Cricetulus griseus: one gene and its partners. The protein of the gene in region 3 purifies or fractionates together with the protein of the main gene of each other region. This does not show direct contact. Links are inferred from orthologs where the notes say so. Each region holds a gene or a part of one and is shown on either strand. Other genes may lie near its edges.

Region 1 (3,226 bases), on a different chromosome or scaffold from region 3:
CACATTCTTCCATTCTGGATAATCTGTGCCTGAGGTCCTGTGGTAATTGCAGTTTTAACCTGAATACTAAGAGGCTTCTGTGATTCAGTAGCTTTCGCAGCATGGGTAGTCAGTCTAATATTGGTCCGGACCCCTCTTCTCAACATCAGGCACACACCAGGTGTACTGAGTTATCTGGAGCAGATTTATTCACATCTCCTTCTCAAATCCTTCCATGAGGTTGCTAAGAAGCAGTGAACCGGTCAATCTAACCTGGATAATTAGTCTCTGAACTGAGAGACAAGATAGTCTTTAAGTTACTGAACAAGAAATGCCAGCATTATAGTTAACCAAAGCAGTACTGGAAAATTACTCTTTTGAGGTAGATTATACAAAATTTGTAAAACTACAAAAAGGCAATCACATGCCCACAATCCAAATTCAACACACTATCAGGCAAAGTCCAAGGAAAGTACATGTAATGATTAGAAATCTGAGTAACACTCAAAGTGCATAAATTATAAAACAGCAACTTTAAAAAAGAATCAGTCTCCCACCCTCATTGTAAGACTGACTCTAGTATCAATGAGAAAGAAAATGGACAAATGTCTAGTAGCATATAAAATCACGACTAAGACAGAAATCCCCTCAAAAATCTAACAGACACACAGTATATACTTTACAGTAGTTTATTTAACATCCTAATAATAAGCCATATTTACATATTATATAAACGTATGAAGTTTTATAAAACGCCTGAACTAGAAGAACCCCACTCCATATGGAGTTACTTTACTTATTTACTTGTTTACAAAATTGTACAATTTATATAAATTATTTCCTTTCAAATCAGGTGACTTTTAATAATTCACACAAATACTGATGACTTTACAAACGGTACATGTTAAAATCTTGGGCTAAAAATTACAGCATTTTCCTGCGTAAAATTTGCTTTGGAAAGGAAGACAGCTTCTTTTTGCCTCTTCCAAGAGTTTTTCCTGCTGCTTCTGTAGTTTTTCTTGGTTTGTTGACCTTTACTGCATCAACTGGGCTTGCCAAGGGAGAAATCAGCTTAATTTCTACAGGAGGAGGTGACCAAGAACTTCCTTTTCCTGTGTTTCTGAAAGAGAGATACACTCAAGTAGGAGCAGCACAGTGTCAAGTGCTTCCTTCTGCAGACAGGCGAAGGCAGCCAAAGTACAGCTGTGGGCCAGTGGCAGGCAGGGTTAAAGTGCCAGCCCCCACCCATGCCCATGTGCGCTGACATACTTAGCTACATAGACGCATGAACACTGCTGCGTTACAAGCATGGCCCAAATACCTATGGCACATGCCTCTAATCCCAGCACTGGGTGTGTGTGTGTGTGTGTGTGTGTGTGTGTGTCTCAAAAGGAGGCAGAGGCAGGTGGAGTTTGAGACCTGTGTGTGTGTGTGTGTGTGTGTGTGTGTGTGTGTGTGTCTCAAAAGGAGGCAGAGGCAGGTGGAGTTTGAGACGTGTGTGTGTTGTGTGTGTGTGTGTGTGTGTGTGTGTGTGTGTGTGTGTGTCTCAAAAGGAGGCAGAGGCAGGTGGAGTTTGAGACCTGTGTGTGTGTGTGTGTGTGTGTGTGTGTGTGTGTGTGTGTGGTGTGTGTGTGTGTGTGTGTGTGTGTGTGTTGTGTGTGTGTCTCAAAAGGAGGCAGAGGCAGGTGGAGTTTGAGACCAGCCTGGTCTAGAGCTGAGTGACAGGGCAGCCTCCAAAGCCACACAGAGAAACCCTGTCTCAACAAAACAAAACAAAAAAGTTCCAATTCCGATGTTAGGTGTGATGGCTAAGAAAATTCCAGTACTCAGTTAAGAGAGGCAGGAGGATAGCTGTTGAGTTTGAGGTTGGCCTGGTTTACTTAGCAAGTTCCAGTATAGCAAAGACTACATGTTCTAAAGACCTACTCTAAGAATAAAAAAAAAAAAGGGGGGAGGCAATTCAGGGTTCAGCTTTAGGTGTGCCACAAAAGGGGGGGGGTAATACTCAAAAAGAGTAGCAACTGGTAAGTATGTATATCATAAACACATTGACAATTTACGTATGAGTAGTGTCATTAGTCAACTGCATCGTGTTTATTAATTTGTATGTTTACTAAAAATAGCCATGCCTAAGTACAGCATGAACAGAATACTGTGAAACAAAACTATCTCAAATGGACTAATTTTACCGCAGATACAGTGATATTGCCACTAATGAAACAACAAACTATCTTCTCTCCCAGTCCCACACAGTGGACAATGAACTACTTAGGCTACCCGTCTCCACTCTGTGGAGAATGCTAGTTACTGTCAACACTGGGCTGTCTACCAATGTAAGGAGCCAGTGCTAGGCACGTCTGAGAAGCCCCCTTTCCTAGGGGCTCCAGATAAAGGCTTACCTGCTTGCTTTTGTCTTCACAGTCCTGCTTCTTGTTTTCTGTTCTTCTATGATTTCTAGTGGTTTAGGGTCACTCTCCTACGGATTAAAAATTAGAAAATATAAATTGCCTAAGCAATTAAAAATTTTCTGTTTTTGATTTTAAGACAGAATTTCTCTGTTGGCTTCTCCTTCTCTGGCTGTCTTGGAACTTGCTCTGTAGACCAGGCTGGCCTCAAACTCAGAGATGTCTGTCTCCCAAGTGCCAGGATTAAAGATGTACACCACCTAAAGTCTGATTTTAAAAGTATCCTGCTGGGCTGGATAGTGGTGTCCCACGCCTTTAATCCCAGCTCTTGGGAGGCAGAGGCAGACGAATCACTTAGTTTGAGGCCAGCCTGGTCTACAGAGTGAGTTCAAGGACAGCCAGGGCTGCAGAGAAACCCTGTCTCAAAACCGCCCCCAAAAAAGTATCCTGCTCAGTTAAGGAGTCAAACATCACTAAAAACCCCAGGTCCTAGACAGGCCCCTCTAGCTCTTTAGTAGAAAATGTGATAATCTAGAAAAGAACTGTTCTTTTCCCGACTTCCACAAGGTGCCCATTCTCCAAGTCTTGTGCTTCCAGTGTCCACTGCCCTGAGTTAACACAATTTGAGCTGCATGTAAGTCCAGGTTCTCGTCATCTTGAAGGCACCGGGTCACCAGAGATGGGTTTCCTCCTTCCCAGAATACTTTCCACAGAAACTATCTGAAACCTACACGTCTACTCGGTAGCACTGCCCTGCCATGCTTATGAATTCCTGAAGCTGTTGCTTTTCTGACAGAAAGTTCACCCCTATCCCTATATATACAGAGGTTCGGGGCTGAAAG
Region 2 (4,133 bases), about 100 Mb from region 3:
AAGATGTGTGTCTGTGTGTTTGTGTGTGTTTTGTTTTCTTGTGTGTGTGATTGGGATTTCTCTGTGTAACAACTCTGGCTGTCCTGGAACTCATTTTGTAAATCAGGCTTGCCTCAAACTCAGAGATCCACCTGCCTCTGCCTCCCCAGTGCTGAGATTAAAAGCACATGCCACCATACTCATTGATTTACAGATTATAATAATCTCAGAATTTTACAAAGTCTCTTACTAGAAATTAATCAATATTACAATACTCTATGTCCTAGACTGCTAGTACACAGTAATATGACAATAAATAACTTACTTTCCTAATCTGTGAATTTGGTGCGTGCTGTAAAAGTTTAGTTATTCTTAGATACCTAGGAGCTAGTGGCTACAAAAAAAAAAGAAAGAAAGAAAAAAAAAAAGTATTTCAGAAGTACACAAATATCTAGCCTTTTTTCTGGAATATTTTTCAGTTTAATTTTTCTGTATTTATTCATTCACAAAAATATAACTGAGGCCGATGAGCCATGTAACCTAAATACAAATTAATATACATGTTATTTTATGTTTGAGGCAGAGTCTCATATTGTAGTCCTGACTGGCCTGGAACTTGCTTTACAAACCAGACTGAACAAAAAGCCAGAGAGCCACATACCTCTGCCTCTGAAGTGATGGGGTTTTATTTGTTTGTTTGTTTTTGAGACAGGGTTTCTCTGTGGCTTTGGAGGCTGTCCTGGAGCTCGCTCTTGTAGAGCAGGCTGGTCTCGAACTCACAGAGACAGCCTGCCTCTGCCTCCCGAGTGCTGGTATTAAAGGCGTGCGCCACTACCGTCCAGCATGAAGTGCTGGGTTTAAGGACATTCAGAAAGACCAAAAAATATAAATTTTATCATAACCTAATAAAAAGACAAACACTTGAAATATAAAATGTGTGCTACAAGCAGAAGTATCAGTAAGGAAGTGTGTGAAAGCTTACATAGGAAAGCATACCAGGAAAAGTTTCCCAGGTTGTGATGTCCAAACAGATAAAATAGTACAAAAAAACACCAGGTCACAACTTTTAATATTTATACCACAGAACTCCTCTGTTCTCTTGAATTACTTGCTTTTAGGTTTTACTGTTTATATAAACATCAAATCTACAAGCTGATAAGTATGTTCAAATCAAACTGACAACTAATTTCGTGAAATCCTTTTTGTTGTTGTTTTGTTTTTCGAGGTGGGGTTTCTCTGTGTAGCTTTGTAGACCAGGCTTGGCCTTGAACTCACAGAGATCTGCCTGCCTCTAGCCTCCCGAGTGCTGGGATTAAAGGCGTGAGCCACCAACGCCTGGCTGCCCTCCACAATTCTTAAATGAGATGGATCTTCTATGTTGTCCAGGCTGGCTTCAAACTCCTGGGCTCTAGTTCTCCACCCTCAACTTCCATTACTGGTGACACTACAGGCTTGCAACACCACATCTATATTGACTTTTTAAAAATAATTTAAGCTGGGCGTTGGTGGCGCACACCTTTAATTCCAGCACTTGGGAGGCAGAGGCAGGCAGATCTCTGTGAATTTGAGGCCAGCCTGGTCTCCAGAGCGTGCCAGGATAGGCTCCAAAGCTATACAGAGAAACCGTGTCTCGAAAAACCAAAAAAAAAAAAAAAAAAAATTATTTTTGTTTTATATGAATTGATGTTTTGCCTTCATCTATGTCTATGTGAGGGTGTCAGAACTTGGGAGTCACAGACAGCTGCCATGTGGGTGCTGGGAATTGACACAGCTCCTCTGGAAGAGCAGTCAGTGTTCATAACTGCTGAGGGGTCTCTCCAGCAGCCCCTATATTGGGTTTACTCACCCCCAACGCCTGGGTTTTTTTGGGCAGTGTCTCTATGTGCAGCTCTGGCTGTCCTGGAACTCAGTATGTAGAGTAGGCTAGCCTTGAACTCAGAGAGAGCCGCCTGCCTTTGCCTCTCAAGTATTGGGATGAAAGGCGTGCATCACTAAGCCTGCCTCTTGAACTATTTTTAAAGTTTAGTTCTCAAAAGTCTAGGTTAGGGCTGGTTGTAATGGCAAAGACCTTTAATCCCAGCACCGAGGAGGTAGAGGCAAGTGGTTTCTTTGGTTTCGTGGCAAACCTACATAGTGAATTCCAGATCAACCAGGATTTGAATGAGATCTTGTCTCCCCGAGCTCCCCAAAAGTTTACATCGAGGTAATACTAATAAAGTTCTATTATCTTACTATATAAGCAAAAATGGTAGCACCTAAATGGAAATGTTTTGAACACTATGTCAAATGTCCGTTTCCTTCCCCCTACCAAATACAGAACAGCCAATAATGAGAGACTGGAACATACAGGGAGGGTGGAATAGTATAAAAATTCTAGGCTTGAGTCAAGACATCTGCCATTACTGAGTCCTCTCCCACCTTACAAAACCTCTGCACGTGATGCAGAATGGGGGCATTGACATAGAATGTCTTAAACGCTATGGCTACAGTAATTCAAGAATCCAATCTTTCTCACCTCGGTTTACACGAACATGCGGCAGAACAGAAAAGAACCTTTCATTCGGTTGACCAGACCCCTCCAATCGCCAGACAATGTCTTAAAAAGCTAACGCACTTCCGACTCACTCAACCCTCTGGTTAACCCTAGACAAGACGCGTACTGTAGAGTGGTCAAAGAAGTGATGGGGGGGGGGACCTCACTGAGTCCCCAAGGCACCATCCCCGCAAGGGCCAGCCTACCGCGGGCTGCTCACCTCTACCCAGCGAATGAATGAGTAGCACCGGAGACAACGAGGTTCCCTCAGCGTGGGCTGCCACCCGAGGCCCCCTGGCCTACGCCCCACGCGTGTGGACTCCCTCCCAGGGCCTCCCGAGCCAAGCCGCAGGGCCGCGGGCCCCGCCCCCTCACGCAGGCCCGAAGGAGCGCGCCCCGCACGAGACTGGGAGGCTGAGGGCCCGGGGCGTCCCGCGCAGATGCCGGTCCAAAGAAGAGGACCCGCCCGCCCGGCCCCAGCAGCACTCCCGACTTACCGCGGTGCGTCTGGGGTGAGGGCCCAGGTCCGTCTGCCACCCGCCGCTCACAGAGCAGCGCGCGGCCACCAGGAAACCGTCGCCGCCGCCGAGGCCGCCGCCGCCACCGACCGCCGCTTCGGGCGCAGCGCGCAGAGGCCCGACTGCGTCACACGCCGTCCGCCGTCAGAGGCCAGCCCCGGGCGTTCCGCCCTCGCCAGCCGGGCATTGGCAGGCCGTTCCGCCACTCGAGGCCTACCGTGTTACTCATTGGGCGACGAGCCTTTTGAAACCGAACGTGAAGGCGGTCTCTGAGAAGGAGTAGAGGGGAAGAGGAGGGGCGTGAGGAATTGGGTGGGGAGAAAAAAAAAAAAAAAGAGGGATGGTGGGGAGGGACCTGGAGTCCCACCCCTTTTGCCGCGACGGTTGGCTGATAGAGACTCGCGACGTCACACACGGCCCCTCGAAGAGGGCTGGGGAGTGGCTAGAATAGTGAGCACCAAAAAGCGGTGACGTTGTGCCGAGACCCCGCCCCTTTCCTTGGAGCGCGGAGACTCGGGCTACGGAAGCTCCGGCCAATCAGAGGGAAGGCCCAAGGATGACATGGTAACTGTTCTACCCTTCTTTAGTTCAAGTCTGCGGGTAATGATGGGCAGGCTCTCAGGCCACCCAGCTGGCACTTTCGGAGCTTGAAAACCCTTTTGGGATACCTATCAATCCATGTGGCTTATCAGCAGCCCTTCAGAGACCCTCAGTCCCCACTGTTGTTCTTGCCGGTCCAAGCAAGTCTTCTCACATCCTTTCCTCTGAATCTCTAAGGTAGATCTGAGCAATGGTCTATTATAAGGCTTGATCCCAATGAGGGTTCTGCTTCAGCTGCAGCTTCAGAACCTGTGCTGTTCTGGATGGATTGGGTGCAAATGTACTGCCTTCTCCAGGACGCATTTGCTAACCTCAACAAGTTGGGGTGATGCCTGGGCGGTCCTCTTATCAGGACTTGTTACTTTGTATCTTATTTTTCTATTCTTAGACTCCTCCCTCCCCTGGTGTTGGTCAAAGTTGCGTTTTCATCCTTTTGGTGTCTGTTTCCTCCTGGGATCTAGCTAAGAGCAGAGGAGTGGGCATGTTCTAGAAATCAGACCTGT
Region 3 (2,327 bases):
ACTGGAAACAATCAGGAAATCATAGACTCAGGCTCACTGACTCAATACTGAGATTACAGCCAGTGTAATCACCATATTTGGTAGCAGTGACAATTTACTGATAGCTCAGAAAGCCACACAAACATCTTACTCACTAAAACACTTTTAAGATTCATCCATTATTGATAGGTGTGGTGTCCTTTAACTCCAGGACTTAGGAGGCAGGTGGATATGAGTCTGAGGTTAACCTGTCTACAATAGTGAATTCCAGATCATCCAGTTACATAGTAAGACCCTATCTCCATGTTTGTTGTTGTTTGTTTTAATCAATGTAGAAAGTGAGGAACATTCCCCATGAGTTACCAGCTGTCACCTTTCATGAGTTAAGAGCCTCTATATTTGTTTCTCAGTCACATAGTAAGTCAATAAAATCTGACATTCAGTTTGCTAAGTAGGTACGTCCCTCTGGCTTTGACCTAAAGAGAGATCAACATCCCAGAGGATCTTTAGTGTACCAAATCCAGAGTCACAGTGACTCCAAAGACAGATTAGAGCAATCTTGAAAAACACTGTTTTCCTTAATTTTTTGAAATTAAAATATAATTAAATTATTTTTCCTTTCCCATGCCCCCTCCAACACCTCCATGCTCCCCTGCACTCAAATTCATGGCCTCTTTTAGTTGTTGACCTAAATATATAAGCACAACCTGCTCGGTCCACAAAATATTATTTGTATGTATATTATTTAAAGGTTGACATTGGATAACGAACTAGGGGGAGGGAGTGGCAATCTGTTTTGGTTTTCAAGTCCAGACCTTGCTATGCTGTCCAGACTGGCTTTGAACTCAGTATCTTCCTGTCTCAGGCTCTAGTGTTGGGATTACAGGTACATGTCACCAAACTTGACTCAACCTTACAATCCTCAAAACAGACATACTATGCACAAGGAGGCAGTGCCAGAGAAAAACTGCATGCCTCACTGGACCAAGGGAGACTGGAGAAAGGGCAGAAACACAGAAACAAGGGTGACTTCAAGTAGAAAATGAGAAGAAAATATCTTACAACTGAAAGAAAATCAGGGTTATGCCCCATTTTATATTATAGCTCCCAAATAAAGCATTGAAAAAATACCTGGCTGCCACAGATGAAATTATATAAACTTTTAAACTGATTAAAACTTACTTTTTTGGCATCAAAATTTTTATAAGCAAATATTTATAAAATTTTAGAAGCAACAATTTCTACAAATGTCATATCTGTCCCTGAACATAATACTCATAATTTGCTTTTAGAACAAACTCAAAGTAAGGATTGGATTTCAGGCTTCCCAGCTGGTCTGCTTGAAGTAGGTCCTTCACCTCTGGCAAGTATTCGCTGAGCTGGATGCCTGCAAACAAAACACAGTCACTTATGATTTCAGAGATTCCCCAGTGAATGAGAGGCTGGCGCCAGTCACTAACATGCCCCATACTGGAGCCTCCTCCTAATCACAGTGCCGTAGGTCTGACAACAGCTTCTTCAGTGCCACCTGCAGGCTCTCACTGGTCAAAGCAGCCACTTCAGGTGAGGTCTGCAATAGTCTGCAATTGTCATTTTCTACACTTAATTCCAGCACTCAGCACTCTGAAGGCAGAGGCAGGCAGATCTCTGTGAGTTCAAGGCCAGCCTGGTCTACAAAGCGAGTGCCAGGATAGGCTCCAAAGCTACACAGAGAAACCCTGTCTTGAAAAAAAAAAAATCAAAAGACATTCTTTCAATGCAGAAGTTTTCAACTAATAGTCATTTCTGTGTTACCCTAACTGGGGAATAATATAATAGAAATACTGTCACAGAGCTGGCCACAATACCATAAAGGTATCAGTTTAATGTGGATGGCTGTCCTTCCAGTGCTCAGGATGCTGAGGGAGGGAATCCCTTGAACCTGAAAGCCCAAGACCAGTCTGGACAGCACAGTAAGACAGTCCCAAAGAAATAAAAACGCACATACAGCAGCATTTCAACTGAGTCAGAGACTAGAAGGATAATGGGGTCAGGAAAGCCAGGAAGCACCAATCAATGGACTATTGAAGCCACAGCAATTACATTTAACCTCACTTGACCAAGAAAATGGAACGAAAACTTTTAAATGAATAAGATCATATAATTTGTTGTATGAATATCAGATTGTCTGGTTTTAAGGAAGATAATCCTGGGGGGGGAGTACTTGTCCAGTAAAAATATTCTTGAAGCATCCAGCACCATCTTTTTGAATTTTTTATAATGATAAATTGAATAATTCTGCACCATCAAAAAACAAGGGTCTACTGAGCAACTATGTACCAGGTAGGGGTAGGTATGTTTTATGTAGA

Evidence for each region.
Region 1: the proteins of Nup133 (region 3) and Ahctf1 purify together in Homo sapiens (affinity purification with western blotting; 3 studies listed by BioGRID, with this or other methods). This does not show direct contact. The link is inferred for Cricetulus griseus from reciprocal best matches to the Homo sapiens genes NUP133 and AHCTF1.
Region 2: the proteins of Nup133 (region 3) and Nup98 purify together in Homo sapiens (affinity purification with mass spectrometry; 6 studies listed by BioGRID and IntAct, with this or other methods). This does not show direct contact. The link is inferred for Cricetulus griseus from reciprocal best matches to the Homo sapiens genes NUP133 and NUP98.

What each region holds. Positions count from the first base shown.
Region 1 is NC_048598.1:14,465,794-14,469,019, reverse strand, and holds the end of Ahctf1 (protein ELYS), read right to left. Parts: intron 2,456-3,226; coding exon 2,379-2,455; intron 1,100-2,378; coding exon 904-1,099; 3' UTR 653-903; downstream 1-652. UniProt on the Homo sapiens protein: Required for the assembly of a functional nuclear pore complex (NPC) on the surface of chromosomes as nuclei form at the end of mitosis. May initiate NPC assembly by binding to chromatin and recruiting the Nup107-160 subcomplex of the NPC.
Region 2 is NC_048596.1:97,176,118-97,180,250, reverse strand, and holds the start of Nup98 (nuclear pore complex protein Nup98-Nup96), read right to left. Parts: upstream 2,872-4,133; 5' UTR 2,733-2,871; intron 2,642-2,732; exon of another isoform or gene 2,495-2,641; intron 1-2,494. UniProt on the Homo sapiens protein: Plays a role in the nuclear pore complex (NPC) assembly and/or maintenance. NUP98 and NUP96 are involved in the bidirectional transport across the NPC. May anchor NUP153 and TPR to the NPC.
Region 3 is NC_048596.1:200,581,488-200,583,814, forward strand, and holds the end of Nup133 (nuclear pore complex protein Nup133), read right to left. Parts: intron 1,367-2,327; coding exon 1,230-1,366; 3' UTR 537-1,229; downstream 1-536. UniProt on the Homo sapiens protein: Involved in poly(A)+ RNA transport. Involved in nephrogenesis.